Linked DNA regions of Oryzias latipes. The protein of the gene in region 1 interacts with the protein of each later gene in a pairwise test. Links are inferred from orthologs where the notes say so. Each region holds a gene or a part of one and is shown in the gene's direction. Other genes may lie near its edges.

Region 1 (8,349 bases):
TTTGTCTTCTCTCCAGGAGGAAACTCCTCTGTTTCTGGCTGCGAGGGAAGGGAGCTACGAGACCGCAAAGGTCTTGTTGGAGCACTTTGCCAACAGAGAAATAACCGACCACATGGACCGACTACCCAGAGACATCGCACAGGACAGGATGCATCACGACATTGTGCGGCTGATGGACGAGTACAACGTGGTACGAAGTCCTCCGATGCACGGAGGCTCCCTAAGCACGACTTTGTCCCCTCCTCTCTGCTCTCCCAACGGCTTCCTGAGCAGCATGAAGCAGCCGCAGCCTCAAAGCCAGGGCCAGGGCAAAAAGGCGCGCAAACCCAGCGCCAAGGGCATCGGCTGCAAAGACAGCAAAGACATGAAGGTCAAGAAGAAGATTTCCCAGGACGGGAAGTCTGTGAACTTACTGGACAGCTCTGCGGTTCTGTCACCGGTGGACTCGTTGGAGTCTCCTCATGGCTACGTCTCTGACGTGGCTTCTCCCCCCATGATGACCTCCCCTTTCCAGCAGTCCCCGTCCGTGACCCTGAACCACCTGCAGGGGATGTCTGACCCCCACCTGGCTGTCGGCCACATGGTGATGCCAAACAAGCAGGAGCTGGCCCGGATGCAGTTCGACCCGCTGCCTCCCCGTCTGACCCACCTTCCGGTTCCCGGCTCTGGAGGTCAGGGGTCAATGAACGGCCAGTGTGACTGGCTCTCCAGAATGCATGGCGCCATGAGCCAAACGGGCCAGTTCAACCCCATGAGAGGCGGCCCCCACCAGGGGGCACAGCACGGGATGATGACCACTTCGCTCCACAACGGCCACCCCGGCTCCAGCCTGTCCCAGATGATGACCTACCAGGGAATCCAGAGCACCAGACTGGGACCTCCGGTCCACATGATGCAGCAGCAGCAGATCCAGCAACTCCAGAACCTGCAGCAGCTCCAGCAGCAGAACCTCCAGCTCCAGCACCAGAACTCAAACACAACCAACAGCCAGAACTTCATCAGCGGCGATCTGACTTCTCCAGAGCTCCAGCCGGGCTCTGGCAGCTCCAGCATACCCATCCACACCATCCTCCCCCAGGAGAACCAGATCATGCCCTCCTCCATCAACCAGTCCATGCCCAGCACCCAGTTCCTGACCCCGCCCTCCCAGCACAGCTACTCAGGCCCAATGGACAACACTCCAAACCATCAGGTGCAGGTTCCCGACAACCCCTTTCTGACCCCGTCCCCCGGCTCCCCGGACCAGTGGTCCAGCTCGTCTCCTCATTCCAACATGTCCGACTGGTCAGAGGGCATTTCGAGTCCAGCGACGAGCATGCAGTCTCAGATGGGGCACCTACCAGAGCAGTTCAAATAGGAGGCTGGTAGTGTGACGCCCGCACGGGCAGCTGTATAGTTTTAAATAAAACCGAGCTGGAAACAAGATTTAATAGGACTTTATAATCTTTTATACTAACAACATCTGCATCCTTTTTACTTTTTATTTATTAATGTCTCCTTATTATTTATGTGCCTGCTTGTTGTCGCCTGTGGCGTTAGTCCAGTCGCTGCTCCTGTAGTACCTCCTTCTGCCTGGAGGGGGCAGCGTTACACACTGGCTATTTATTTTCTCAAAAACTTGTAGTCTTTGCTTTTTTTGTATATTATTTCTTCATCCCTGTTTTGTTTGTTGTTTTTTTTGTATGATCTGAAACCCTGATTCAACTAGAGCACATTTTTCAGTTTCAGTGTTACAATGTCGGGAAATATTAGTTGCTGCTCGCTGTGAATTTGAGTAGAATGTGTTTTTTTTTTCTTTTCCCTTTTTGTTTTGCCGGACGGGTGGAGCAGCCATTCGTTTTTATTGCATTCGTGGATGTGATACGTTGTACAGAGTACGGCCATCTTGGAGATTGGCAGTGAAGGCAGGCTTGTGTTAAGTCCCGCTGGAGAACCGGCCCGTTGGTCGCCATGTTGGTGTGTTTTTTTGTTTTTTTCCCCCAAGAGGAAACAGGAAATGCCGTATTTCCATCCCTCCGGTTAGTTTGAGCCTATGGCTGTTTTTCCTTCTGTAAATACGCTTCAAATTCCCCTCGTAAGCAAGATTTTGTTTAAGAAATCGAATACTTGGACGTGGATTGGATGGGATTTGCACCAACAGTAGCTTTCTAAAGTATAAAGTATAGGAGAATATATATTTTGTATATTAAAACCCCCAATGCAAATAAAAAAATTGAAAGGAAGCAGATTAAATATATTTGATTAGATAAAGAGTATGGTTCTAAAATGTTCATATGAAGTTGTGAATCACCATAAAATCACTGAGAAAACTGTTGGTGAAGTTCTCCATGATGTTCTTTGTGAAATTCTCTCAAAAAAAAATCCAAGCTGTTAAAAAAAAAAAACAGCAAAATGTTTGTTTTCTTTGTCAAATTTGACTTTTCCTGAAATGTTTTTTACTTTGATTTTTATCCTGTAAAAATGTCTTGTTATAATAAATGGCACTTGCGATTCTCAAAGTGATCAGTTTGGGGTTTTTGTAGTCCTAAAAGAAACTTAAATGAGTGTTTAGTTGACGTTGTGTACTCTTGTCGTTTTTTTATTTTTTTTAATTTTTATTTGCAAATGAACAAAGCAAATAATCCGTTTTCATTAAAAGATTTCATGGTTGTCACGTGCAAAAAATCAAATTTACTGTTAAAATTAGTGATTGATAAATGTATATGACTATTGGTATCTTTAAATTATTTTAAAAGTCAAATTGATATTTTAAATCACCATTTTGTGGGCGGGACCTGCAGGTAACCGAAGAAACTAAAGGTCATTCAAAACCTACAGACTCACAGATTATCTTCTTTCTCCTCATCTTCCTCTGTGAAGATATTTTTTCCATGTCTCCATCTAGTGGCATGAATTTAAAAGCCACAATTTACCTTTTATTCACTCTGGTAAAAATAAAGTAAAATTCAGATGCAGATGAATGAAGGACTCAGTATTGAAACACCACTGAAATAGTTTAATGACTGATCATAAACAGTTAGAGTATTGTTGAAACAGGTGAATTGCTCTTAAAAAAAGTTTAAATTTCTGAAAAACAGTTAAAGTACAGGGGAAACAGTTGAACTACAGTTGGAAAAGCAATTGAAATCCTGTTTGACAATAAAACAATGAAAATAGTGCTGGAAAATCAGCTAAAGTAGTGTAAAAACAGCTGAAATGTTGTGTTAACAGCAAACATACTGTTCAGAAACAGTTACAGGATGCTGAAGACAGGTGAAATGATGTAAAAGGACTATTTGAAATTTTGAAAAGCGGTTGATTTAGTGTTTAAATAATGTTGAAAACAGCTGAGGTGCTGTTGAAATAGTTAAAAATGTTGAACTACTGTTAATTAATGTTAATTGATTCCCGTTTAACCTTTCTTTCCAATAAATTCGATAACAGTCTTAAACAAGTCCAGATTAAATAATGACTCAAAGTCCCATAATGCACCAGCACTCGTACAGTTGCGGGTCAGAGTTCAAACGTTACAGTAAAAATAGGATATTCGCTGGTTGTTGCCCTGTGTGCTTAGCGGCAAAAAACAAACAGCTTGGCGGCCTCGGAGCTCGTCCCTCGGTTGTCGCCGGTCCGAGAGTCCGAAGATGACCGCCAGCTGATCGGTGCCGTTCGGTTGTTGGTGGATTTACCCACGGCGGCTAGCTGGGGGCTCGCGCTAGCAGGCTAGCAGGCTAGCTCGCTGGGACGAGCCGAGGGGAGCAGACAGCCACCGCCGTTCGTTCGCCAGCGTCGCCGGGCCCCGAAGACCGCGGCAGCCATGTTCGTCCAGGAGGAGAAAATATTCGCGGGGAAAGTGTTGAAAATCCACATCTGCACCATGGACGGTGCGGAGTGGCTGGAGGAAGTCACGGAGGACACCACGGTGGAGAAACTGAAGGAGAAGTGCTTGAAACATGTAGGTTTGTTGGAGGTTGTTTGGGCTACTTTGTTGTTTTGTCGTGTCACTGCCCTGCCGGGGTGTTTGCTCTTTGCCCTCGGGGTAAACCGTCTCCAGCTGTGTATTTATAGTAACTGGGTAGACTCTGCTATTTATAATTGAAGAGGCTGGCAGCTTCTCTGCAGCTTCTGCAGCTAAACTGTCCTTTTCTGTCCTGCTCTATTATTACCCCGCTCACCTCTCCTCTCCTTATATGGCCCTGGCAGGAACTCAACGGGGGTCTATTATTTCTCCTTTATTAATACTTTAGATTCCTATTACTTCTGTGCTGACTGACTCCTCTTGGGTTCCCATCCAACCCACTGAATTATCGTGAAAGAAACTTTTATTTAATTCAAATTCACTCCACTCGGTGAACAAAACGTTGGTTTTTATTTATTTATACTTTTTATTCCTGGAGAATTTGGACTTTTACTCGATTATATTTATGTCAAATCAAACAGTTGTTTCCAGGTGAAGAAAGGTTTTTTTTTTTTTTTTTTTTTTAAAGTTAGTAACTAAATCTCGTTGTTGCATCAAATGAATGAGAGCAAAACAACATTTAGAAAATATCAGGAAAAAGACAAAAACGACCGACATCCGCAGCTGGTAAATGGGTAACTTTGATCACGGTAACCACGGTAACGGCAGCTTCACTGCTGGAAGAATTCAGCATCCAGAAAAACTTTGTCACTGCGTGAAGATGGGTTTTAGTGAAGATAAAACAGTGTTGGTTAGTAAAAATACCACAAGCCTGATCAATCAAACATTTATACAAGAAAGAAACACTGACAGAATAATCAATCGGTGAGTTAAATCCTATAATAGAAAATATTGAATGTTAACTCCTTCATACCTGAATTTATAAAACATATAGTCATTGTTTTGTCCTTTCCAGGTGATGGTAAATGAAGTCCTGGATTTATGGCTATGAACGGACGTCAGAGAAGGTGTAACCTAAATAAAGATATAGAATCATAGAAGTGTTGGAAAAACAACTTATTCTCAAGCTCCAACATTAAATCTGACGAATTGTTATTTGTTTTAATTTACTATTTGGACAAAATAGAAGATTTTAAAGAATTTTTTTTATTCTGTGGGTCAGTCTTAAAATTTCTAATAGAGAATGTGGTTTTATTAGTGGTTTATTTGTGCTTTATGTGCTACTTATTAGTTGTGCGACTCATCTGACAAATTTATTGGAGAAAGTTTTGATTTGGCCAAAAAATCTAGTTTCTCTTATTTTGATTTTATTCCCTATTAAACGTTTTGTTGTTGTTGCTAAAACGCTGCAGTTAAATGTAGTTTGAAAGATGATCCTCGTTGTACGTTTTACTTTCTCCACAAAAACCGTCAATTTAGTTTGTGTAAAATGGAAACTTTCAATCCTAGTTACCCTGACAGAAACATAAATAATAAGAAAATTGGAGAATAAATTAAAAAGCAATATAGTAAAAAAAACACTTTAATTTCTTTAAAGATCAGTATAGCACCTTAAAAAATAAAGTTTTTATTTATTATTTCTATGACAAACATGGTGTAGAGAAAACAAAATCATTAAAAAATAATCAAAAAACCAATGAGGTAATATTCAAATACACCTTATAAAAATTGCTTGGGTTTCCTTTTGTTTAAACAACATTTTGAGCAGCGTTTTGATATGAATGCTTTTAATTTGAAAAGACAACGTCAGCTTGGAGTTGACTTCCTCCACAACTTGCTGCCACTGAATCAGAAAACCTTTATTGTCACCGTCCGCATGAACAATGAGACTAAAGATGTCAAGATGCAAAAACTATACGGACATACATGCACACAAATGTGCACACAATATGTGGAATACAGTAATCTAGGAAAAGTCTGTTGTAAATCAAAATATTAACAGAATAATTACTGTCCATTGAATGAAAAGGTAATAAACATAATAAACAGTAGTTCTGTGACTAAAGAGCGTTGGGTCTTATTGTAATGATAAAGCGCTATATAAGAAGACGCCATTGACCCTTTAGGTTAGAATGATAAATACACAAATATACATGTACTCAACAGATACACACATTTGATTTCTTCTGTTTGTTTTTTCGTTGTTTGATTTTGCAGTACGTTCATGGAAGTCTAGAAGACCCCAAAACTCTCACCCACCACAAGCTCATCCACGCTGCTACAGAGCGAGTCCTAACGGACGCCAAAACCGTCGCTGACGAAAACCTCAAGGACAAAGGTACGCGGCGTCACGTTTGCAACCTTCTCGCTCCCGTTGCTGCTGACTTCCCATCATTTATCTGCTTTGTGCGTTTGGTTTCAGAGGTCCTGCTGCTCATAAAGAAAAGGCCGCCGCCGACGCCTCCGAAGACGGCAGAGGTTGGTTCAGATGAAAAGGTAAACGCCTTCTTTTTATGAAAAGGCTCCGCATGTTAAGCTCCTTATTAGCAGTTTTTTTTGTTCGTCTCTTCTCAGAAGAAACAGGACACCAAAGCTCCAGACAAAGACGCCATCCTGAAAGCGACCGCCAGCTTACCCACACGGCACACGGACCGCACCGTCACGCAGCACAACATCAGAGATGTGAGCGTTCAAACTCCACGGCCTCCGGGTCTGCAGCCGCCCGCCGCCTTACGCTTCCGCTCTTTGTTCCAGTTTCAAACCGAGCTGAGGAAAATCCTGGTTTCTCTCATCGAAGTTGCTCAGAAGCTTCTAGCCTTGAATCCCGACGCTGTGGAGCTCTTCAAGAAAGCCAACGGTGAGGCGGACGCTTCCTGTCACGCCTGTACACTAATGTTGCTGCTGGAGAATGTGACTTCAGACAGAAAAGTCTTTTTAAATGAGAACAAAACATTTCCCAAATGTACATAAATCTTTGATCGGGTTCAGATCTTTGCCTTCATTCCAAAATCCTGGACGTATTTTTCTACGAAGGTTTGAACTTTGAGATTTGAAACAAGAGAGGAACGTGTGAAAAAGTGTGCAGGGAGTCGGTTTTGTAAAAATCAAAGATGACAGCTTGGAGCTATTTTAAACGGTAACTCCTGTGAGGAAGCAGGGAACGCCGCGGACGGTCAGTTCTCCTGAATTTGGTCCTTTGAACATCTGAGCCGACGTTTTCCTTCTGAAACTGTTCAGTCAGCAGTTTTTGCTCGCCATTCATGAGTTTTACTGAGAGTGATATGCGCACTAAAGGTGGTGTTTCTTCGTCACAGCGATGTTGGATGAAGACGACGAGGACCGCGTGGATGAAACGGCGCTGCAGCAGCTCGCTGAGATGGGTTTCCCTGAGAGCAGAGCCATCAAAGCTCTCCGACTGAACCAGTAATTCTGTTTTCTGAACAGCATAAACACGCATTTGTAGCACAGAGTGGCTGTGTGTGGCTGGACCACCGTCCTGATTGTCTCTGCTTTAGCATGTCGGTGACCCAGGCCATGGAGTGGCTCATCGAACACGTGGACGACCCCTCTGTGGACGCGCCGCTGCCGGGACAGGAGTCGTCGGGGGCGGCGGTGGTGGCCGCGTCGGGAGCTGCGACCGGGGCTGCAGCGGCCGCCACGCCGGCACTCTCAGCGTCCGCCGCCGCCTGCTGTAACCTCCTTCGCAGCCAGTCCAGCTCAGACGAGAGCAGCAGGCAGGACGAACTCACGGAGATCTTCAAGAGGATTCGCAGGAAAAGAGAGTTCAGACCAGATTCAAGGGTACGACAGTCTCTGCTCTCTGAAAAGGTTTTTTTATTTTGACAGGATCTTGTATTTATTCATAGTTTCAGTCGTCTGTGGATTTAGTCTCCCGTTCAGGCTGCTGTTTTTCCCCTTCAGGCCGTCGTGGCTCTGATGGAAATGGGCTTTGGTGAGAAGGAGGTGATTGATGCTCTGAGGGTCAACAACAACCAACAGGACGCTGCTGTATGTATCCACAACAATGTCACTGCACCTCCTCCCCCCTCACACACATCAGATCTGATCATTTCAGTAGAAAAGTGAAGTTGACTCTCTGTCAAACAGAGAATCCTCATGGAAAGCTGCTGTTCTTCAGTGTTTGATAGAGACGCTGCTGCTTCCAGCTGAAACGTTTGATGTTTCAGGATATGTGTGTATAGATTTACCGGTTTGTTTTATTCTAACCACACTTGACTTCCTGCAGTGCGAGTGGCTGCTGGGCGACCGAAAACCTTCTCCTGAAGATCTGGACAAAGGCATCGACACCAACAGCCCGCTCTTCCAAGCGATTCTGGAAAACCCGGTCGTCCAGCTGGGCTTAACCAATCCCAAAACCCTGCTAGGTATCATCCAATCCCACTGATCGGTTTTAATTTTAGATGATCTGTGTTTTTGCCACAGTTTCTCTTGAAAGCATTTTTAAACACGTTAGCTTAGCGTTAGCTTTCTTTTTGTGGGCGTCTGATCAG
Region 2 (7,813 bases), on another chromosome or scaffold:
TTTAAAAAAAGATTTTGACAAAAAGTGCACAGGTGGCTAAAAGGAAGGAATGTTTTTCTGCATGATGAAAACTTAACAAGTTCATGTCATGTGGTTTGTTTCGGCACATGGGATACACCAGCTTTGAACAACTACTGCTATTCCCACCAGTTAGATTCTTGTGTGCACAAGAAACCAGTCCTCATTTATAACTTTTATGTCCCTTTAGGGGCTCAGTATAATCTTTATAAAGGAAGAGAAAGAACGTTTTACATGATACAATAGTAATAGTTCTCCGTTTCAAGAAATATGATTTTTTTTTTAATTAAAAAAAGCAAATTGTAAGGTATTTTTGAGAAACATTTTGTAAATTTCTTCAGTTTTTAATTAGACACATTTACTTTAAGATGTCAAACATCTCAAAGTTTTCTTTTTTAATGAACCTTTAAAGTACAAAAAGTATTTTACCACAAAACCAGAAAAACAGTTTGAAATTATTTTGCTAACTCCTTGTTGTAAGGGAAAAAAACTGATTTCAAAATGTTGTGGTTGTTTTTAGCGTTTTTATTTAAAAAATGTACCATTTTTGTGACTTTGGTGCAGATTGTGATCACTTTAGACAAAACTGTTGTTGTGAGTCAGCACCACAGCTAGATTAAAGCCTTCAGTTGTATCCTGGTTCACTTATTTGCATTCAATCAGAGACTAAAGCAAGATAGTGTTTTCTTTTAATTTTATAACCTGATCTTCATCACTCACATCACTCATCTCCATGACATGATCACCCTTTGATCGTGAGTTCTGCCTTTCAGCTTTTTCCTCACGTCTTTTCTTTCCCGTGTCACTCTTTAGGGTGCAGGATAAGAAGAAGAGGCATTCTTATGTCCGAGTTTTAGGATGGCCAGTGAAATCTCCTCTATTCCCAGTCCTGTTTTCCGCCAAATTGACAAGCAGTTCCTGATCTGCAGCATATGTCTGGACCGCTACGAAAACCCCAAAGTCCTGCCCTGCCTGCACACTTTCTGTGAGAGGTGAGTGGAGTCACTGAGCTCTGACATGTTTTACAGGGAGGATTCTTCTACATTTTTGGGGGATTTAAACATTATTCTGGAGTTAATGTGGGTGTTAATACCTCAGGACGTGGCGTTAGCTTTGCTGTTTGTCTCATCCTCTTACGTTGACTGCTTTTTGTTTTTGACACAAAAGGAGAAACTGTTGATGTGCTCAGATGTTCCCTTTACTCTGGTTGCATTTTGCATCACCCCTGTGCTCCAAATGTTTCAAAACTCACTCTACCAGAGTGCATCTGTAATTTGATATTAAAGTTTTTCTCAGTCGCTTTAGTACAATTCTCAGATCAGAATTGAAGTTTGCAAATACGTGTGTGCATTTCTCATAACAATTTGTACAAACAGCAAAACACTATGGATTTCTTGCAAAAGCCTGTAACTTGCTCAAAATCTTTAGTTCATCTCTGAAAACTATGTCTTTATGTCATTGAACATGTCAGTGCCATCAGAATGTCAAGTCCTTGTGTCATTGTCTACGAACAAGACAGTCAAATTACTTAGTCATGTTGTCAATATAACTGTGTACTTTAGAGGGAGGTTCTGATGTAAACTATGGCTAAAGTTTTGATGACAATTATTGTAAAATGGAAGTTACACCTTTTTTGTTTGATTGCAAGAGACTGGACAAGATTCACATTTACACTTTTATTGTTCATATTGTAATTTGTTGACAGACCATGTCATACCAACATAGAAAAAACCCACTGCAAACAGTAACACAAAGGGAAAAGAAAGATAGGACAATATTCTGTACAACAGTACAGGCAGTGCAGTAGGAATTGGTGTGGTCTTCCTACACCTCTTGTCGTTCCTGTATGTTAGGCCACAAATTCTCATCCACATCACAGCGAATATCCTCTCTTGCAATGCAGCGAAATATGTTTGTCACATTATGACAACTTGGTCAACCATTTTGCAGTTAATGACTTATACGATGAACTAATGACTAGGTGTTTTGAGGAGTAAGACTATTGCACAGTGAACTATATAATACATTTTGATCAACATGACATAAACAATTGATAATGTAGCAAAGAGCAGAGAATTGTACATTATCATTTGCATGTATGTACCAAAGCAAATGCAACTTGTTCAAAGAAGTGAGAAACTGCTTATATGATGTGCACAAGTGACATCATGATGTGAAGATTGAACAAATAGTTTTGGGAATTTGATTCTTATCTGAGAATTGTACTAAAGCGACTGAGAAAAACTGTAAAATTGAAATCTAAGCAAATAAGAAAATCTTTTTAATCAATTTAGATCATAAAGTTATTTAAATGGCAACATATTCTTGTATCTTAAAGCCTAATTTGAAATGTGATTATTTTAGTGTATATAATAAGGCTCTTAGAACATATTTTTTATACCTCTGAGCTTACAAAATCACTGTCCTTTTTTACAAAGAACTGACAAAAAACAGGATAAGGTTCCATAATGCACAAAAACTGCATAATAAATCAAATAAATAAATAGATTGGACCTGAAAAAGAAAGAACTGAACTTTGCAGTGACAAAATGTGTCGTAAGTTAAAAAAAAAGGTTTTGTAACAATAATGGTTGAATAATAATAGAAAATGGATGGACAACAATAGTTAGACAGGACTGTTTTTTTTTTGCTGCGGGGCAAGAATAAAATTTGAAAAGTCCAAGATAGATGTTTATGGAAACCATTCACCAAACTATAAGAAGTACAAATCAGTGATAGACTTTCATTTAGAGGACACCAATGTAAGTCTAACACTAGGTACACTCCTTCTATGGGCTTTCACAAGAATAGTTCAATACAAGAAAAGTAGAGCTCAGAAGGCCCCTCTTGGTGCTCTTGACACAACTTCAACAGCTAAATCAGCATCTCCCCTCATATAGTCTGCCCACTCACTGACAGAGGCTACATGAAAACTGGTTTCATTGGTTTGAGGTATTTGGTTGCTTTGATTTGTAAAGCAAGTTGGAGCAACCAGCTCTGACACTCAAAGTTAGCCGCGTACTCTGTGCTGGCTCACCTTTGGTGTGAAGTTGCTCATTAGCCTCAATTTCTGATCATTCACAATAAGGAAAGAAACACATTTAAGTTGTTGTTTGTTCATGCTTTCTTTGGTATTCTCTCCACCCACCTTTAGGTGCCTGCAAAACTACATCCCGGCCCACAGCCTCACTTTGTCGTGTCCGGTTTGCCGCCAGACCTCCATCCTGCCGGAAAAAGGTGTGGCGGCATTGCAGAGCAACTTCTTCATCACCAACCTGATGGATGTGCTGCAGCGGGCGCCAGACAACTGCAGCCAAGAGGACACCATTCTTAACAACATCGCCTGTGTTGCAACAGGCCAACTGCTGTCTTGCCCCAACCATGGAGGCAGTGTAAGAACCACTACCTCCAATTAGTTAAAAATCAAATTGAAACATACGAGAAGTTTCTCCATATTTAGTATATTCGTTGGTACTAGTCCAGACTTAATGCAAACTTTTGCTTTGTAATCTCCTCTTTTCCTCTAACCTAGGTCATGGAGTTTTACTGTCCTCCATGTGAGACAGCCATGTGTCAGGAGTGCACAAGTGGCGAACACGGAGAACACCCTACTGTGCCTCTCAGGGATGTCGTTGAGCAACACAAGGCTTCATTACAAGACCAACTTGACGTTGCCAAGAAGAGGTACAAATGGACATGTTTCAATGCACCACAGTATTCACTGGCCATGTGTGAATCAAAGTCAGGCCTACTTTTTTTTTCTGACTTTGTTGCATGACATCTAACCTCTGCGTGTTTCTTTCAGGTTACCAGAGATCGACTCAGCTTTGCACATGCTGTCAGAGATTTTGCAACAACTGACAAATCAGAAAAGCTTAATTGAGGATGACATCCACACAACCTTTGATGAGCTTCAGAAGACTCTCAATGTCCGCAAGAGTGTCCTTCTCATGGAGCTGGAGGTCAACTATGGTCTCAAGCAGAAGGTGAAGAACTTACAGTATTTGTGATATTTAGATCAGGGTTTATATTGTTTCTTGTGGGGACTGTTCCAGCTCTGTTTCATTTTTAGTTTATTGAGGTCTTCTTAACCCTGTTTATTGGGGACACTGCTCATTTGATAGGTGGTTAACCACTTTCAAGAGGAGTTGAGGTAGCATATGCATCACCCCAACCAACCATCCAATTACCTATTGGCATAGGAGAGCGTTGTCAGTCCCTCTAGGATTTTATTCACATGGGCAGCTAATGATTTAAAACTCACTAACTAGTGTGTCGTGACCACTCCGGTGCCCATGGGGGAAGCCAGTGCATCATGCAGTTTAGTGCTCAGTAACATTTGGGTGTGTCAGTAGAATGCAGTAGGGCTTTGATTGTTTTCTAGGATTTATGAAATGTGCTGCAATTGCATCTATGTCTACATAATTCCTCTTTGTCCAACAACCTGTTTATAGTTTAATACACAAAAGTGTTTGAATGTCACAGATTATTTAAGTTCTCCTTCTAAAAAAGATGAGAGAGGTCTGTTAAAGTCATCACACTTCAACTAAGAGACAGAACGTAAAAATCCAGGAAATCACGTTGAATTGCATAATTTAGACTAACGTATTTGTATAAAGAAGCAGGAAATAGAAATTTAGCATCTGCAAACAAACAGGAATTCTGTTTCTCACAGACCCCATTGCAGATTAGGACGATGGATCTGTATTAAGGAAAGGATGAATAGGACCATGTATGGTGAGATTTTAGGCTAAGACCTCCTTCCATCAGTGATGGCTTTGAGGATGAAAAGTGGTTGGATCTTCCAACAGGATAATGATCTCAACCACATCAGCCGGGGAACAAAAGAGTGGCTACATAAAAAGTATCTCAAGAATCTGGGGTGACCTAGCCAGACTCTGGACCTCAGAGGGAGATGAAAGTCAGAATTGTCCAACAACAGCCCCAAAAACATCACAGCTCTGGAGAAGATCTGCATGGAAGAAAATAGCTAAAGTGGCAAAGGAGGACTTCCTAGAGTATTTTTTACATTCTGTTTCTCACAGTTGAAGTGTAATTATGATGAACATTACAGACCTCTCAGTAGGACAATTTATAGAATCGGTAACTAACAAATACTATATGCCTCACTGTGCCCATTTTTTTTAAATTGTAAGATGTGGACTTAAAGAAAATTCAACTAGTTTCTAATAATAAATTATAAATAAAATAATTACAGTATTAAATTTAGTGATGAAGTACATAAACTATACTAGTTAGACCCAACAGCATACAACTGGTGTGTTCTTGTGCAGGTGCTTCAAGCCCAGCTGGATACCCTGCTGCAGGGGCAGGAGGGCATTAACAGTAGCTGCAACTTCACAGAGCAAGCCCTGAACCATGGCACAGAGGCCGAGGTGCTCCTGGTGAAGAAGCAGATGGGTGAGCGTCTCATGGAGCTGGCCAGCCAGGAGCTGCCTCTGCACCCTAAAGAGAATAACCAACTGGACTTCCTTGTGGAAACAGAGGGACTAAAGAAGTCCATCCACAATCTGGGAACTATTGTAACCACCAATGCTGTGGCATCTGAAACGGTGGCAACAGGTGAAAGCTTACGGCACTGTGTGGTGGGAGTGCCCACATCTATCACCATAACAACCAAGGACAAGGATGGGGAGTTGTGCAAGATGGGAAATGCACTCATCACTACTGAAATCTCCCCACCTGATAACAGCAGGGACATTGGAGAAATACTGGACAACAAAAATGGCACTTATGAGTACATTTTCACTGCTGCAAAAGAGGGCACTTTTAACCTATCTCTGCGCCTGTATAACCAGCACATCAAAGGAAGCCCCTTCAGAATTAAAGCCATCAAGTCCATAGATGCCTGCCCAAAATCTGATGGGACAAAGAAAAGGCTTAAGTCTCCAGGTAGTGGACACATTAAGCAGAGGGCCATCAAGAGGCCAGCCAGTATGTACAGCTCAGGACGGAGAAAGGAGAACCCTATTGAGGATGATCTCATCTTCAGAATTGGTAAGAAGAACATTTCACAGCCCACCTATTTATGTAAAATAAAATAACTACTAAACTTTTAACATCAGTAAGTTAAGGTGTAACAATAACTCAAAAAACACAGGGACACATAACCAATGTGTTATAGGAACCGCTTTGTTTCCCTTTAAATGTAATTTAAGTCTCCATAAAAAAGCGCCTCTATAATTTCAACCATTTCCAAAAAAAATATCAGAGTTGGTGTCTCTCAAACCTATTTTGAACGTTTCTCAGTTGAGTTTTGTGAAGTACGTAAAGTATGTTAGACATTTTTGGCAATATAACACTAACAAATTCCTATCCAGATTTTACAAGGCATGTCTTGGACATTTGTGAAACACAAATCACTGCGGTTTCGCGAGTAAATTGTTTTACATTGTCTTTTAATTTTGCACCCAGAATGGTTGCATCCTATAGAGTTCCTAGCTTTGGCTACTCCACCACAAAAGGAGGTTGCATAAAAATGGTAAAAGAACACTAAACATGAGAAGAAAATAACTAGATGGTAAAATTATCGGTCCATGCAGCATGTAATTGTACTTAACAAGAACACTATGAAAATGTGAGAACAAGGAGTTCCATTCACAAAGGAATAAAAAGAACCTAAAAAACATAGGATTACTTCAAATTGAATGTTATGGTTCACTAAAAAAATCTTTTTTGCTAGTTTGTATTTTCTGAGTTTTTATGTCCTTTGGGTAATTCATTTTGTTTACTATGACAAAAAAACTGTAATGAGTGAACAAATGTGAACAAAATAAAAATCTAATCTTAGTACAAGTTGGCCCATCTTAATAAACCCTCATAAAAAACATGCATTTAAATTTTTGATTTCAAATTAATGTCAGTGAATGTCTAAGTTGTCAACATTTATTAAACTCTAAAATAACACCCTGAACCAAAAATCACAGTTCAATATGAGTTTTAAATCAAGTTTTTATGTCAAAAGTTTGGAGCAAAAGGATTTTGACTCATTTTAATAATAATAAAAACTTCCTTATTTCTAAACCTAAAAAACATTCTCGACTGCAGATTTTTGAGAGAAGTGTGGAAAGATGTAGATCAAAAGATAAAGTTAAACAACTCAAAACCTGTAAAGTATCTGTAATTGTTGTGTAATCATGTGCTCCTAGCTTGATTAAAACATGACAACAGGTCTCACATTGATGTTCCAATACAGCAGTGCTTTATGTTTTACAGGCACGAAAGGAAGAAACAAAGGAGAATTCACAAATCTGCAGGGAGTGGCTGCCTCATCTCTGGGAAAGGTGCTAATAGCAGACAGCAACAACCAATGTGTTCAGGTACAAAATACTGCTTCCACAGTACAAGGACTACGTCCAAAGATGGCATGCTGGGATTTCTCTGCAGTCTCCTGCACTTGTGGTTTTCTAAGGGTGCGGTGCAACTTACAGTCTGAGAAATTCCAGCTGTAGTTTTGGATTTGACAACTGAACATTATAATATCAAAACACATCTGCTAGGCCATTTTGCCGACGGTAAAAAGGCTGAGGGACAGATAATAAATCTGGACCAAACTCGAGCCAAAAACAATGGAGAGGGATCTGTAATCCTCTACAATACTCCAAGGATGTGAATGTAATGGTTCCTAAACATGGATTTAGATTTTTTTTAAGACATAGTTATCCTTTCACAGCGCTCTTTTCTTTCAAACTTACTTTTCTTTCTTGTTTTGAAGGTAGTAACATAGCAAAATTGGATTAAAAGTTAATCTTTTAATCTGAAAGTATTCATGCAG
Region 3 (6,893 bases), on another chromosome or scaffold:
GAGATCAGGGAATGTCTGGAAAGGATGGATTGGAGGTGGAGGGGGAAACCACCTCCTTCATAAGTTGAGAGTCGTATTAGAAGCAGCTGAGGAGGAGAAACGATGCAAATGACACAACTCTGATGGAGAAGTCAGGAACGTTGAAGTTCAGGTTTGCTAAGTGAGACTTTCCGGTGACGGGGTGGAGGGTGGGTGGAGAAGGCACCATGACGTCAGCGCTTTTTTTCCCCCAGCGCTATTTTTAGCGGTGCTATAAGAGCTGAAGCCTTTTCCTGGTTCTAGCTTCTTGTCAAACAGGTCAGAGACTGTTCCACTCGCTCTGCCGCTCCCCTCCCTGTGTGTGTGTGTTTTCTGCCATTAGGGGGCGATCTTCCTCCACTCTGATGCACCCTCAGCCACCAGGGTTCTCCTCCAGTGATGCAGCCCCAGCATCCTCCCTGGCACACAGACAGCCGTCTCTCTGACGGATTTTAAACTCTCCACACACAGATGTGGGGATGTAGGGGGCGCCAGCGAGGAGGGGAGCAGAGTGCCGCGTCAGCTGCCTCGCTCTTCAATACTGAATGAGAAATTCAAATATTCATGGTGACACCACTTAGCTAAAGGTTAGCGGGGGGGGGGGGGGTGCAGCCTGCAGCTAATGCGGGCGCTGGTGCCGTCTGCCTGGGATGCCCTTCAGGCTGAGGAGACGAGGATGGGGGTGTTTCTTAGCAACCGGGCAGACTGGCCGCAGTCACGCACAACAGCCGCACCACTCCCTGCCAACAGGGGGGTGCAGAGCAGGCGGCATGGAGGCGTTTGAGAAAAATGGTGTGATTTGTGCTCCCTCCATCTTCCCTGCAGGAGAGCTGCAGGAAGTGCCACGTGCTGTGGAAGCAGCACAAGGGGAAGACGTGCGAGCAGGTGCTGGAGCGGGACGAGATCCGCATGAGGGTGCTGTTGTGAGTCTGTCTCTTCTTTACACTTTCAGCTCTGCAGAACACAGACGCTCAGGTTTGATTGCTGATGAACTCAACTTTGTGAAAAATAATCAAAGCATTTCAAACTTTTTCAATTTCCCTTTTAAAGTATCTATTTTTTGGCCAAAGCTTTGAGTTTTTCCCCTTTCATGCCCACAAACCTCCAGCTTTTGACGAATGTTTTCAAAGTTCTTGATTTTAGGAGCTAAAGTACCAAACAAAACACAAAAAGACCTTATGAATGTGACAAAACAACAGAAGTAGCTCCGCCCACTGACATGTTCATTTGGATGCTGAAAAGACGAGGTAATGTCTAAAGTGGGATGGGCATGTTGAATCTACTCCGCTCACCTGAAGGACCAAAAATGACCATTGGGGCGAACACCTGCCAATCAAAAAGACACACCCCTGATAATGCCAGCATTGACACTCAAGAAAAAAGTAAATGTTAGTCTATTTTTCCATTAAAATGTAACATTTACTTCTGACACTTTCAAATCCATCCCCTGGACATGGAAGTGGATCAGATCCAGTTCTTCCTGTCAGAACCAGTTCTGTTTAGGCAGTCAGGGACGAGGCATTTCTGCACCACCCTCTGTTAAGAGTCCCACTCCAATCATCCTTTAATCTATTGTAAATGCGTTCCCAGTGGTCTTTTATTTATGATTATGCTGCAGCCAAAATCCGAAAACCTGTGACGGTTTCTGCAGAGCGGCAGTAGTTCATTAGAAATGTGCCTCTGAGTTGTGGACGGCCCTTCCCCTTCCTTTTGCTGAGAGCTCAAGGCAGAGAGTTTCTAGCCTGCCCAGCGGTTTTTTTGTGGCTCAACTAAAATCTTTTTCCAACTGCATTTTTTCATCAGCTCCTGATTCACAATGATTTAAATAAAGAAATTCTCAGAAATGCAATTATAAGCTGAATTTATGTCTATACATGTCCCATTATGTCTCCATAATCATAAAAACGCCACAAAAACATGTTCTAAATACCAAAAACGTGATTTTCATCGGGGTGGTTCTTTAAATCAGAAAGCGGCTGCAGATCCGCAGTAGGTGGGATGATGTATAAACAGCTCAGTTTCCCGGACAACCAACCAGGAAGACGGAGGCTCACCTGCTTCCTATCTATCGCCCAGCAGGAGCAGCGGCAGCACTTCCTGTTTTTAGAGGATCTTACTTCCCGGTGCTGAAAGATGAAGGAAGCAGCTTGGAGAACAGATCAGAGCTGTGATGGTTCCAGCAGGAATCACAACAGCATTCAGGTCCAGGTGGTCCATCCGTCCACAAACAATAGGAGATCGGATTATCAGGAACAAACAAACTGGAGATTTATATTGAAAGTTATTAAAGGGCATTCTTTTATTTGTAAAATCACCGCTTCAAACATTGACCAACCCCTGAAAAAACCCACTTCTCAGTGAGAACTTGCTGTTATTCAACTCAGATAAACCTGTGAAGAAGAGTCTGACTGAAGCTTCATCTGATGTTAGCAAAGAGAAAGCAGAGCCGAGTTTGGATTTTCACACATTCCTCTGGTTCTGAAGAGGCTGAAGAACAAACCTAAACGAGTTCTCTGGGTTGATGCACACACAACCCCCTAACCCTGCTGCTTTCCCTTCCTCCTGCAGCGAGGAGCGCATGACGGCGGCGCGTGTCAGGAAATGCGTCAAATGCGGCACCGGCCTGGTCAAATCGGAGGGATGCAACCGCATGTCCTGCCGCTGCGGCAGCTTCATGTGCTACCTCTGCCGGGAGCCCATCACCGGCTACAACCACTTCTGCCAGCACGCCCGCTCCCCCGGGGCCCCCTGCCGCCACTGCCACAAATGCTCCCTCTGGACCGACCCCACGGTGCGTCCTCCTCTGTGCATGTTTGACACTGACTGAAGCTAAAGGGGAGGAGCTTTAATGACACCATGATGCGGCTTTCTGTGTTTTTCTGCAGCAAGACGACGAGCGCATCATTCAGGAGATCCAGAAAGAAGGAGAAGCAGAGCTCAGTAAGAAGTGTGCAGGTCAGGAAAAGCCATTTTCTCCATCTTTGAACCTCCTCTTCTTCCTGTCAAACCGCTTACAGACATGCTCTGCTGCTGCTTTGATGTTCTGGATCCAGAACGGCGTCACAGTTCAGAGCTTCAGAGGTTTTACTGCAGCTTTTGATGCAGAGTTTATGAAATGTTTCTGCGGGATCAAACCTTTCCAGCATCATGTTTGCAGACGTTTGCAAACAAAAGTTATCATGTAAAGTGAAATCCTTTCTGTCTTGGCAGACACCAGAAACACATCAGCGTCTTTAGACGTCAGTTTTCCTGTTTTCACCATAAAGGGTTTGCGCCTCAGTAAAACTGTATTTTTTCAGACTAAAGTTGTTCCGGAGGATAAGTTGCATCAGCCAATATGATAAAAGAAGAAAATATCGAACATACGTCACACTTTTGGGAGAAATGTAACAAAATACAGGAAGAAGAAGGGAAGAAGAACAGACTGATTTTAAGTGCTTCACTGCCTTAACCGCATTTAGCTTCATGCAACATAAGTATAATTATTACCATAACCATAGCATAAAGAACATGCTAATAACTAAACTCTTTATATCGCTTTAAATCACTAAATCTGATGAGTAACTCTGAGCGGAGCTTCTTCTTTTGTGTTGCGGATTAGAAAGCTGAAATCTCAAAGCAGGTCTTCTCTGGTTGATTCCATATTGTTGATTTGGAATTGCGGTTTGTTTTGTTTCATTTCTGACCTAGTTTTTAGTGGACTTTTTTCAGTTCTTTTGAATATGTTCTATGTTTTTATTGAATGAAAACAATAATTCAAATATCAGCAATGGCAAGAGCCTAAAATTGTTCGTCTCCAAAACTTAATATTGTGTCGTCGTTGATCAAGCAGCTTCTGTTGCAGGTCTTTTAATCTGGAGGTGTTGGGATTATCACAACACATAACAGACAGAAACATTCAAACAGCCTGTTATTGTTGTTGGAAGCAGCTCATCAGACACCACAAGTGGCCACGCCTCCTAAAATCTATCTGCTCCAAGCGAGCGTGACACCACCCATAGAAAAGAACCCGTCTCCAACAAAATAAAGTGAACACAGACGCCGCCATATTGGAGCCAGACAACGTCAGTAAGCAGTGATTGGTCCGAGTCGGCCTGAGTCAACATTTCTATGGCAACCACTCTCACCAATCAGGAATGAGCTTTTTAAAAGCTACACCCCTACCACTGAAAACAGGGTACTTGAAATCTGTTGATGAAAGTTTTTTAGCATTCAATAAGAGACCACATGCTTTTATGGAGGAATCTGATTGGTCAGTTTCTAGTTTAGTTCTCAAATACAGTCAATGGTTCTGTCACTCCGCAGCGCTGCAGACCAGGACAGGAATGATCTGCTCTTATCAGTGCAGTGTGAGCCACAAAGTCGGCCATCTTTCATCTCTTCATCCTTTCCTCCCTCCTCTCTAAATATGCAGGGAAGAGGGTCGGCCCGCCTCCAGAGATCATCCCAGAGACCAAGCGGCCGTGTGTGGGCCCCGCCCCAGAGAACCCACCCAACCCAAACCCGGCAGCTCCCCCTCAGCCACAGGCGGTGCAAGCCCCTTTGTTTGTCCCCCCTCGCGGCCGCTTCCCGCCGCCACCTCCTCAGGGCCAGATGTTCCATCAGATCATCATACCCCCGGCGCCGTATGTGCCCCCGCTGCAGCATCTGCCCCCCATGAACAATAATCACCAGCACGAGCACAACCCACCCTTCAACCAGCGTCACCGCAACATGGACCTGCCCATGCACTATGGGCCCCCCCCATACTACTACAGACGCTACTAACCCCCCTGCTGGGTTCTGCGTTTTGACTGTGAATCACTCCGTTTGTATGTTTCAGGTTATAGACCCCCCCTCCACCCCCCAGGTTCCAGTTTGACCTCGAGTTGTTTGCATTAAACAGACAGTTGAAGCCTTTTTCCAGTTTCTACAGAGATTTTTCAGTAAAAGATGTCTAAATAAATATAAATCAAAAGGTTGGCCTCCCCCTCCTGGATCTTTTGTCAAGCATCGGGCTTTCTAACAAAGTTTTCTGTTTACAGTTTTGGAAAACATCTCAGTGTGTCTCTCTGCCCCCCACCCCCGTCAGAATGGGCTGACTCATGATAGCTGAGCCTCTGGGCGATCCACCAATCACATGCAGGATCCTCCCCCCCCCCCCCCCGTCCAGCTCTGCAGTGACTCAGAGAGGGGACTTCTTTGTTCAGCCATGTGCGACCCATCACCCGCTCGGAGGGCAGCCCCCCGCTTCTGCCCTGGGGTCCTGATTGACCAGAATTCTACCACATTCTGATGCTGGGAGGCGGCAGCAGCTGCTCTTCACTCTAATTTAGAAACCTCATGACTGCCCCCGCGGCCCCCCTGTCGGTGACCCCTGACCTCCCATACCACAACCATTTTCTGTCCTGAAAACATGATGACTGAGACAAACATCACGCGCCCACGCCGTGGAATCTCCGGATGTTTTGGTTTAGCCCCTGAACGCACCGCGGAACTCATCAGACTTGGATTACAGTCCGAATTAAAGCGAATTATCAGATTACAGCTCATTTATTTCAAAGAAACAAAGGAGGGGCTTAACTGACACGATTAGACCAGGGGATAAATTCCATCGTCTTAACTCTGTTTATTAATAATTGGAATATTTCCTGCATTTATAGAAAATTTAGTTTGATTCAGATTTATTGGATTTGGTTCATTTATCTTCAAAATATTACGTTTAATGGATCCCTCATTTCTTTTCTCAAACTCAAAAGTTTTCTGTAAACTCTCACATCAGCTGTAATAACCTCAAACACAGGAGGAGATGTGTGATGAAGGCATGTTAAAGCTCTCCTGCTGCTCCTCCTCCTCCTCAAGGACCGCGGGCATTTGGCAGCATTCTTGCTCCCCTGACAGTTATAGCTGCTCTGCCGCCATCGGCTTTGTTTGGGGCTGTTATTTTTAGCATTTTATCTTTAAATATTGTGTACATTTTTGATGAGCACACCCTTCACAGCTGCCCCCCCCCCCAACGCTGGGCCCACATTGCAGCTGCTCCTGCTGCCCCCTCTGATGTCACCACAGCCATTTTCTTAAGAAAAACCCTTTAAAAGACAAATTCAAAAGTGGAAGGAGTACAGATAGTTTTTTTCGTGGAGCTATGGAGAGAAATAAGTTTCAATAAGTGTCTGTGTGTAACTTTTGCGCACACACAAATAGGGTGAGACTAATTTCTTAGGCGTTTTATGGCTCATTTTCACTTTTACTTAAGTGGGAGCTCTGTACTTTCATGCTAGTAATGACAAGTATAGAGGGAGATAATGGAAGAGAAGAAATCCCTTAATCAGTCTGGAAAGAACTTTGAATCATTTCAAAGACTCCAGGAAAACTGACTACAAACAGAAAACATTTCAACATTTTTTACTTTCGGCAAATGTGGTGGTAGTGTGATAATTGGGGCTGCTCTCCAGCTTTACAACTTCAAAACTTCAGAGGAAAGTTGTTTCAAGGCACGGAGACGGCTTCTTTCATCTATAGCCGCGTTTACATGGGCAAAAGTAATCGGAATGAACGCCTGATCGGAAAGAAAATGCGTCATGTAAACGCGCCGTTCGGAATACTCTGCCCCGGTCAGACTCATTCGGATCAGAATTTCTTTCCGATCGAGATAGGTGGGTTATACCGATCGTTTATCCGATCGTGGAGCATGTAAACGGTCATTCCGATCGTGTGTCACTGCTGCTCTGGTTTACGTCACGCATAGACGGTGTTTCGCTGAGAGAAAGCTTTGGAGCGCATACGGGACCGACCAGCTCTGCGGACACCCCGTGAAAAGCGCCGCTCCGCTCTCGCCCCGCTGGCTCTCCCCTCTCTTACACCCCTCACGGGGGAGATTCGGAGGAGGAGCGCTC
Region 4 (8,461 bases), on another chromosome or scaffold:
TTTTTAAAAATCAATTGATCTCAGGAAGAATATGGATTTTTCTTACATCCTCTACGTTTTTACTATGACCCAAAAATGTGTATTATATAATGCCCAATTCTAGACGCTATTGGTTTTTTGTTCCCCTTGACCCTGTTCAACATAATGCATCAGTGAAGTGTGACAGAATGAGGTCTCAGAAGATTCGCAGACGCCCTGAGTCCTGTCATTCTTATCATCCGCAGGTAAGCTTTCCACTCGTTATATCCTCGTGCTTATCTTTTTATTTTTGTCTATATGTTATTTGTAAAGTATTAAATAGCAACTTGTTGATTTGAGTAATAACCTGCAATAAGTTCTAATCAAATTGTGTCTCTGCTTGGGTCCTGCAGGAGAATGCAGACGACTGTGGAGGGGCATCTGTCATTTCACTGTCATATGTCCTCCTCCTGCTATGTCTTTCCATTGCTGGATCAATTTCCTGATGATGGACAACTTTCTTACAACGTTTTTAAGTCTTCTTGCTCTCATTAAAAAAAAGGAAAAAAGTCTTGGACTTCTGAAGCATTATATTTTGTAAGTTTAAGAATGACAACCGAGTAAAGCAAGTTAATGGATTGCTGTTGCCATGGACACTTTCCAGCAAACTCACTCCTGCACGCCTTTGAGTCACAGATTGAAAATGGACTGAAAAGATGAAGGTTACAGCATCTGTTTTTAAAAGGAATGGTGAGTCACAAGTTGCAGCATAAGTAATTAGAGCAAGAGTGCAACACATCTCCAGTTGTCCGTCTCCATCTTCCTCTGATCTGAAGATCACAGGCAAGGCCTAGAGCGCATTTGCAAATATGCACTTCAGCCTTCAAGATCCACATTACTGCATCTGTTTTTGTTATATGTTGCATTTGAAAAAATAGTTAGCGTGAAGAGAAACTTGAGTTGGTAAATTGTATCACAGGGCATTTTTTAAAGGGGTTTGATGAATCAACCAAAGCAGACTAGATGAAGGCCCAGTCAGAAATGTCTTATATGAGTGGTATCAGAAATATTTAAGTTAAAAGTTGGAAGGGTCATACTTTTATCCCTAATTTTTACATGTTTTAAGACTAATTACATTTTACCTGCCACAATTTTAAAACGTTTTTCTGCCTTTTTTTGTCTTGTGCACTTTCACCATGTAATTAAATTGTTCTTGAAGTTAAAGCAAAAAAAAGTTTTTCTTTTGCATAACATTTTGCCTCAGGTTTTTTTTTAAGTATCTGTAATGCTCTGCTGAAAAAAATAAGTAAACAACTTTAAAAGAAAAAAGAATCACAATGGTATCTATCTAATGATAATAACATTTGTTAATGTTGATTTATTTACCAATAAATTACAATGTATTTTTATATTGATTTAACTGAACGCTTCTTTTTTTCAAACTTCTTTTTTTCTTCCATTTTTGCATGTTAAAAAGATTTACTTCTAATATATTTGTTACCTTTTTTATATTCTTTTTAACTAAAACATTTAAAATGGTCTGACTGAAATTATTATTTTTGTTGTTGTTGTCTTTGGTTGTGTTATTGACAGAGGTAAAATCTAATATATATGAAATGTTTATGATTTTTTTTAGGAGGAGCTAAAACTTGGAATGTGATTTTGTTCTTTTGTTCTGTTTTTTTCCTTTGTAAAACAAACCTGTAAATTGTTCTTATGAAAGTATTACATGGATTAAAGCCATTATTTATAAAATAAAAGATCCACAAAGTTGTTTTTATTACATTTACTTTGACTGTGTGTCATTTCTGTTTGTCTCCTTTTATTCACCTATTATTTATAAACTTATAGTTTCATATAAATGAGCAGTAAATTTATAAAGATATAGTATGATAGCAGTGGTTGTTTCAACAAATTGGATTGTGAATGACAGATGATTTCAAAAAATAAAACTTTATTTTCCAATAAAGTTTTACAAAATTACTTTTTAAGGTAAAATCCTATGTGTTATAGTTATTATTGTATCCTTTACATCAGAGTAAGTATTCAAATGTTGATCAAAAGCCAGATTTAAATTTATTTATATGACATTATTGATAAAATGTCTAATATAGTGTAAAATGTGAGTCTACAAATAATACACCAAAATAGAATGTTTTGTGTCTTGTCAATGTACTTAAAATATTCATTCATTCATTAATTCATTTTCTTAACCGTTTATTCCCTTTCGGGGTCACGGGGCTGCTGGAGCCTATCCCAGCCACTTGGGCGTCTTAAAATATTTATATTTTTAATTTGAAAAAAATATTATAGTATAATTACAGCAATACCTAATACACAGGAAACTATATAGTTGGAGATCATGTTTCACTCTTCTCTTTACACATAACTTTGCTTTTTATTTTCACTTTTAACTTTGTTGTCAAGAATTGTTACAATTTTTATTAAAAGACCATTTCTTCCAGCGATTTGTGTCAAATTTGCTGAAATTTTCAATCAACAAAACAGTAATGGCAGGTGCACAGCTGTACGTAGAAAAAAGCGTGATCTATTCTATCTATTTGAGTTCTTTTAGAAATTGCATTTCCATTGTTGTGAAAATCATTTATTAATAAATAAATAGATATTGAATTCCTCTTTTAAATGCGTAATTACAAAATACATAACAGAATAATTTATATTTTTTATAGATGTCGTATTCAGTAGTATGAATGTTTAAAGTGAAATGCAGATGATCAATGAATCCGTCATTCCCAGCAGAGCAGGCTGTAGTTAGTGAATACGACCAGCAGGGGCGCTGATGCATCTCCCGGAGTTATTGTTTGTAGCTCCGATCCTCTGCACCGCCAGGCGGACGGAGGCACGAAGCAGAGGAAAATGGCGGACGGTGTGGATCATATCGACATCTACGCCGACGTAGAAGAGGAATTTAATCAGGTATTAAAATAAAATATTCTCGAGTTTGTTCAGTGCTTTGAAGTTCTTTTTCTAATTTTTGCAATGGTCTTTTCGGCGTTATAGGAAAAATAGGTGTAATTTGATGCTCGTGCTAGCTTCTCCACTAGCAATACACACACAGGCCTCTGTCAGTCAGTGTGCTGCGTTGGTTGCAGCATAGATAGCAAACTTCTGTACAATAGATCTGCATTTTTTATTCAAACAGTAGTACACATGTGGAGGTAAATGTGATGTGGGTTATTATTTAGAATATGTACATTTTTGTCCATCAGCAAAGCGTCTAGCAGCCTTTTCAGTGGAGCGCGCGTATAGGCCGCGCAGTGTGTGCTTTCTTTTTTTTTTTTTCTCCCGACGGAGGCTGTTAACCAAACACGCATTTCATGATAAGCTAGCTGGTGTTGGTTAACTTCACACGTTTAATTGGTTTACTGTATTGGACGTGGGTTATAGTTTGGATCAAATGTAACTTGGTGTACTTTTAAAAACGTCAAAAATAAAAACAAAAGGGGAAAACACGAGTTACACGGCTTCCATTCTGGCAGCAGGTTGGGTCATCATGCATGGTGGGTGTTTTTTTTTATTCTTGCGCGCGCGCACATTAAAAACCGCGCCCCCCTTTTTAGACCGCATACTAAAATCATAACTTACTGACATTTGTTTTGCACAGAATTTGTTATGGTATTATACTGTCGGAGCTAAACATTTAAAAATAAATGTTTTTTTTCCTTGTTTCTTATTAAAATTGTTTAGCTAAACTTAATTAAGAGCCAGTGACTTAAAAATTATTAGTCATGTTTTAGTTTTTTTTAACATTTCTTTAAGTTTACTACTCTTTTTTTCCTCATAAAGCGTGACATAAAATAAAGAGAAAAAAATGCTTTTGGAATTTAATTAATTTAAATCAATTTATTATAGTAATTTGCTTTTTCTAGTAACCATTTTTACTTTTAAATTCTGGTGTAATTTCTTTTATTTCAGCTTCTTCTTGTTGACTAACTCTCTAGCACTATTTGGTCTCCATGTTTTATTATAGCTGCAGCAATTTCCAGTAAAACAGGGAGCTAAGTAAGCGTCTGGTGATATGCAGTAAACTTCTATAGATTAGGGGTCAACAGCATTTGTGACATAAAGTGCCATTTTGAAATTTAGAATGTAAAAAAGTTCAATATGTCTAGAAATGTATTTAATTCCCAACAGCAGGCATTTTGGCATTACCTCAAAGACGTTCTTTCATAACAATATTGCACAAGGAAAATAGGCCAAACTTAAAAAGTGAACTTAAATAACTTAAAACTATGTTAGTTTGAAACAAAAAGTACAGCATTTGTGGTACATCATACTGTATACGTCATGTAAATTAAATCTATCATGGTGTTTTTATTGCATGTAAAAGTAAATGTTTTACTTTGACCTTAGAATGCTAATTATAGTAATATAAATTTTCCACAATTGGACATTCTTCATTTTTTTTCACCCCCAGTAAATGGAGTGGCGATCAGCTGTACTATTCATTTTAAAACTTTTTCTCATTTCACATTTACATTTGTCAGAACATAAAAAAGTCAGGGTATAATCTGACCTTATTTGGTATTATCAACAAACTGAGCTTATAACTTCATAAATGGCAGTCGCTGTGACATCCTAAATATAATTAAAAAACCGGCTGTGCATTCATTAACCTTTAGCGCGTTTCCCGCTTATGCATGCGCTCATCGTATTGCCCCACCTGTCATCTCACCGCCAACAGCTTCAAAACACAGGGTCATTACGTCACCGTGGCAAACTTGTTTTTTTTGCCTGCAGTGCACAATCATTTAAATCACCCGTTCATAAAGGCAGAAAGTAACGTACATTGTGTGAAACTAGGCCTGCACAATATATCGCAAATTTATCGTTATCGCGACATTAAGCTGTGCAATATGCATACCACAAAAGACGGCGAAAATCGCAATAAATGGTTACCTTAAATGTGCTAAAACAATCTCGTGGCAGCTTGAAATATTGAACAAATGAAATAAATCCCTTTATGCATTTAACCAATCGGAAGGACCCATTTACGTTGTTGATCAATCAGATGAGCCCTTTTATGTTTGATGTTTGCCTCCTATGTCGACAAGGGTCATTTGGAGTATAATTTTTAAACTGTTGCAGTGAAATGGAAATTATGTTTTTGGTTGTTTTGCTGTTTGTTTATATACCGCGAATCATATCGTTATCGCAATATTAATCACCAATATCGCATATCGCGAGTTTTCCTCATATCGTGCAGCCCTATGTGAAACTATAAAAGTGGTTGGGGTCACAGTAACAGCGCTGCTTGAATGGACCATTTCCTTTTGGCCCCATAGGGGTGACAAAAGCTCATTGTGAGAAGAGATTGTCACTGTTTTTAATCCCGAAAGATGCAAAGAGGCGACAGATCCAAGTGGTTAATGTTGTCACAGCCACTGTCTTTCCCTCTGCGTCCCAGTTGTGGCAAACTGCCAATTCGATAAGCAACTTACCTTAGATTAGACAGATACATCTGTTTCAATCGTAAGAAAATAAATCGATTCGTTGATTAATCGTTACACCCCTGTACATTACTAAAAATAATATCCATCCATAATATCTTTCACTTAAAAGATGCATTTCTACATCCCCAGTTTTTATAAACGTTGAGCCACAGTTTCAGGTTCTTGTGGAATTGAACCCCACATGTTTTGCTTTAACTGTGTTAACTCATTTTTCTTTTAAAGGAATCGGAGTATCCAGTTCACGAGCAGATTGACTTGTACGATGATGTGATATCCCCATCTGCCAATAATGGAGATGCTCCAGAAGACAGGGACTACATGGATTCAATGCCTCCATCTGGCGGTTCTGACGGAGGGAAGAGTAATCCACCCAATGTGGTGTACACCTATACAGGCAAACGGATTGCTTTGTACATCGGCAACCTTACATGGGTGGGTTTCAACCATTCAAATTAAATAATTAGAAGTTTCATTGTCAATTTCGACTAAATGCTAAGAAAGTAGTATTGATAATTTGTCTCTTTTTATTATTGTTCTTTTTTTACAGTGGACAACAGATGAAGACCTGACTGAAGCCATTCGTTCAGTAGGCATTACAGATGTGCTGGAGATAAAGTTCTTTGAAAACAGGGCTAATGGCCAGTCAAAAGGGTGAGGACAGTAGTTTTTGTTTGTGTTTAACTCTTTACACCGAGGCTTTAGCTTCAATGTTAACGTTCTTTGGATTACCGTGACTCTTCAACTGTGGAAAAAGCAGCCTTACGCTGATGTGCAACACTTTACATTAATGATGTGTTGCATATCGGTGCAAATCCTCTATGAAAACCTGCTTTTCTCCAGATCAGAATCAGCCGATTCGGTTTGATCACGTAAATGGCCAAAGAGTTACGGTATGTCAAAGAGAGCGTGTGTTATTTATGTGTTGACGTCAGAGTATTTTTTATTTTATTATACATTCATATGTATAGGAATCCATGTCATGTGCAATTTATTGTATGCATTTTGTTTAAACCGCGCAGAGTTTATTCATTTTCAGAGTTGTGACGAGACTCAAGACAATTTGAACAGAAGTAATTAAAGTTGTGCCACCACAAAACCCTTAAGGTGATGCTTACTGTCCACCGTACCATTATATAGTTTGATGATTTCCGGTTTGAGCTTACACCAGGGGTGCCCACACTTTTTTGGCATGCGAGTTACTTTTGAGACAAGCTCCAAAAGATCTACCTAGATGGATGGATGGATGAATGTAAATAAAGTATTTTCTGTCTATTCAAAAGCTACACCGTAAGAGTACACAAATCTTTGTGAGGAGATAGCTCTGTTGTGTGTATTAATATTATTTTTATAGTAATACACAATTTGAACAGATAAGGCGGTTTATTATGTAAACAGATAGCAGCGACGATCGCGTTTCATGCTATGCTGACACTGTGTAATAGCAGGACATTTCCAAAGCGCAGCAGGCTTACTGACGGCTGAGCGAAGGGCGGCCCCTGCTCTGTGGGCAGGGCTATTGAAGTGCGTGCTTGTACACACTGCTGCCTGAGTTGGCGTTTCTGTCTCGCTTTCAATGGAGGACGCATGCATGCCTGCCCAGCCTCAATAAACGGTCCTGCAGGCGCAGAATGTCCTCCGCCTGGGACCTGGCACACAGCGGGGCTGGTAGCGTCTTTCTGATGGCACAAAGCGTCTGCGCTTAGTGTATTCAACCTTGCATTTGCAATGACGTATGGATCAGAGGATGCCTGCGTGGATGTTGTTTGTGTGAAAAAACTTCACTGTGAGGATGATGATTCAAATGTGGAACAACTACAAAACCTGGTGGCCTCATGAGTTCAACATTTTATAACTAGGATGTTTTTGCTTTGCATACTTATGACAGGGTGTCTTGTGCTGGTTTCCTTCAGGTTTGCTCTTGTGTGTGTTGGTTCTGAGGGATCATCCAGGAAACTGATGGACCTGTTGTCCAAGAGAGAGCTTCATGGTCAGAATCCTATAGTCACACCGTGCAATAAACAATCCCTAAGCCAGTTTGAGATGCAGTCACGCAAAAGTAAGTATTTCCAGTTTCATCTTACGATTTTCACAAATCTATTTAATTTGCTACAAATGAAAATATATTGCAACTTGATGAATTTTGAGCCATTTGAAACCTTTTATTTATTTATTTAGGTACTCAATCTGGTCAGATGTCAGGGGAAGGTAAAGCTGGTCCCCCTGGTTCAGGCCATCGCTCCGGATTCTCAATGGGCAACAGAGGTCGAGGCAGGTATCCTGGTCCACCTGGTTCTGGAGTAGATCGTTTCCCTCCTGGCCCCATAGGCCCTGGAGGCCCACCACCCCACTTTCCTGGTTAGTTTCTATTAGTGAGAAATCTGTGCTGGTTTGAACTGAAGAGGGAACTATTATAGGAGTTTTATGTGTCTGCATATAAATGGGAATGATCTTTACTTTTGTCTTTTTTGCTTTGCTCTCTACTGTTGTTTTCATAGGTGGAATGCAGGGTCTTCCACGTCCTCCCCCTGGTCCTCCTGGCCCCCCTGGTCCCGTAGGACCACCCCCTCCTGGCCAGGGTCTACCCCCACCCCTCGCAGGTCCTCCTAATCGTGGAGACAGACCTCCTCCTCCTCCTGTTCTCTTCCCTGGCCAGTTTGGTCAGCCTCCACTGGGACCTCTTCCCCCAGGCCCTCCTCCTCCAGGGTATGGTCCTCCTCCTGGCCCCCCACCTCCTCAGCAAGGCCCACCTCCTCCGGGACCCTTTCCTCCTCGCCCTCCGGGCCCTATTGGACCACCATTGGCTTTGGCCCCACCTCCACATTTGCCGGGCCCCCCACCAGGTGCTCCTCCACCTGCGCCTCATGTGAACCCTGCTTTCTTCCCCCCACCTGGCAACAACAGCTTGCCCCCTAACGACAGCCGAGGGCCACCCGGGCCAAACGACCCTTATGGACGCCCACCACCATACGAGAGAGACTACGGTCCTGGAGGCCGGTAAGAGTAGGGCAACTGTATTGTTTTGCTTGTTT

Evidence for each region.
Region 2: the proteins of ubac1 (region 1) and trim2 interact in binary tests that used the Homo sapiens proteins (3 or more experiments, as listed by UniProt). The link is inferred for Oryzias latipes from reciprocal best matches to the Homo sapiens genes UBAC1 and TRIM2.
Region 3: the proteins of ubac1 (region 1) and rnf216 interact in binary tests that used the Homo sapiens proteins (3 or more experiments, as listed by UniProt). The link is inferred for Oryzias latipes from reciprocal best matches to the Homo sapiens genes UBAC1 and RNF216.
Region 4: the proteins of ubac1 (region 1) and cpsf6 interact in a two-hybrid assay, tested with the Homo sapiens proteins (2 studies listed by BioGRID and IntAct). The link is inferred for Oryzias latipes from reciprocal best matches to the Homo sapiens genes UBAC1 and CPSF6.

What each region holds. Positions count from the first base shown.
Region 1 is NC_019867.2:2,167,036-2,175,384, forward strand, and holds the start of ubac1 (ubiquitin-associated domain-containing protein 1), read left to right. Parts: upstream 1-3,796; coding exon 3,797-3,934; intron 3,935-6,055; coding exon 6,056-6,176; intron 6,177-6,260; coding exon 6,261-6,334; intron 6,335-6,412; coding exon 6,413-6,520; intron 6,521-6,592; coding exon 6,593-6,695; intron 6,696-7,152; coding exon 7,153-7,261; intron 7,262-7,353; coding exon 7,354-7,639; intron 7,640-7,759; coding exon 7,760-7,846; intron 7,847-8,084; coding exon 8,085-8,223; intron 8,224-8,349. Other genes in the region: notch1 (neurogenic locus notch homolog protein 1), read left to right, coding at 17-1,357.
Region 2 is NC_019859.2:20,975,445-20,983,257, forward strand, and holds part of trim2 (tripartite motif-containing protein 2), read left to right. Parts: intron 1-831; 5' UTR 832-876; coding exon 877-1,010; intron 1,011-3,172; coding exon 3,173-3,410; intron 3,411-3,550; coding exon 3,551-3,702; intron 3,703-3,823; coding exon 3,824-4,004; intron 4,005-5,312; coding exon 5,313-6,036; intron 6,037-7,254; coding exon 7,255-7,358; intron 7,359-7,813. UniProt on the Homo sapiens protein: UBE2D1-dependent E3 ubiquitin-protein ligase that mediates the ubiquitination of NEFL and of phosphorylated BCL2L11. Plays a neuroprotective function. May play a role in neuronal rapid ischemic tolerance.
Region 3 is NC_019866.2:19,116,495-19,123,387, forward strand, and holds the end of rnf216 (E3 ubiquitin-protein ligase RNF216), read left to right. Parts: intron 1-843; coding exon 844-941; intron 942-2,586; coding exon 2,587-2,809; intron 2,810-2,903; coding exon 2,904-2,973; intron 2,974-4,432; coding exon 4,433-4,785; 3' UTR 4,786-4,979; downstream 4,980-6,893.
Region 4 is NC_019881.2:14,389,235-14,397,695, reverse strand, and holds the start of cpsf6 (cleavage and polyadenylation specificity factor subunit 6), read left to right. Parts: upstream 1-2,784; 5' UTR 2,785-2,835; coding exon 2,836-2,895; intron 2,896-5,654; coding exon 5,655-5,864; intron 5,865-5,979; coding exon 5,980-6,083; intron 6,084-7,342; coding exon 7,343-7,488; intron 7,489-7,607; coding exon 7,608-7,787; intron 7,788-7,915; coding exon 7,916-8,426; intron 8,427-8,461. UniProt on the Homo sapiens protein: Component of the cleavage factor Im (CFIm) complex that functions as an activator of the pre-mRNA 3'-end cleavage and polyadenylation processing required for the maturation of pre-mRNA into functional mRNAs.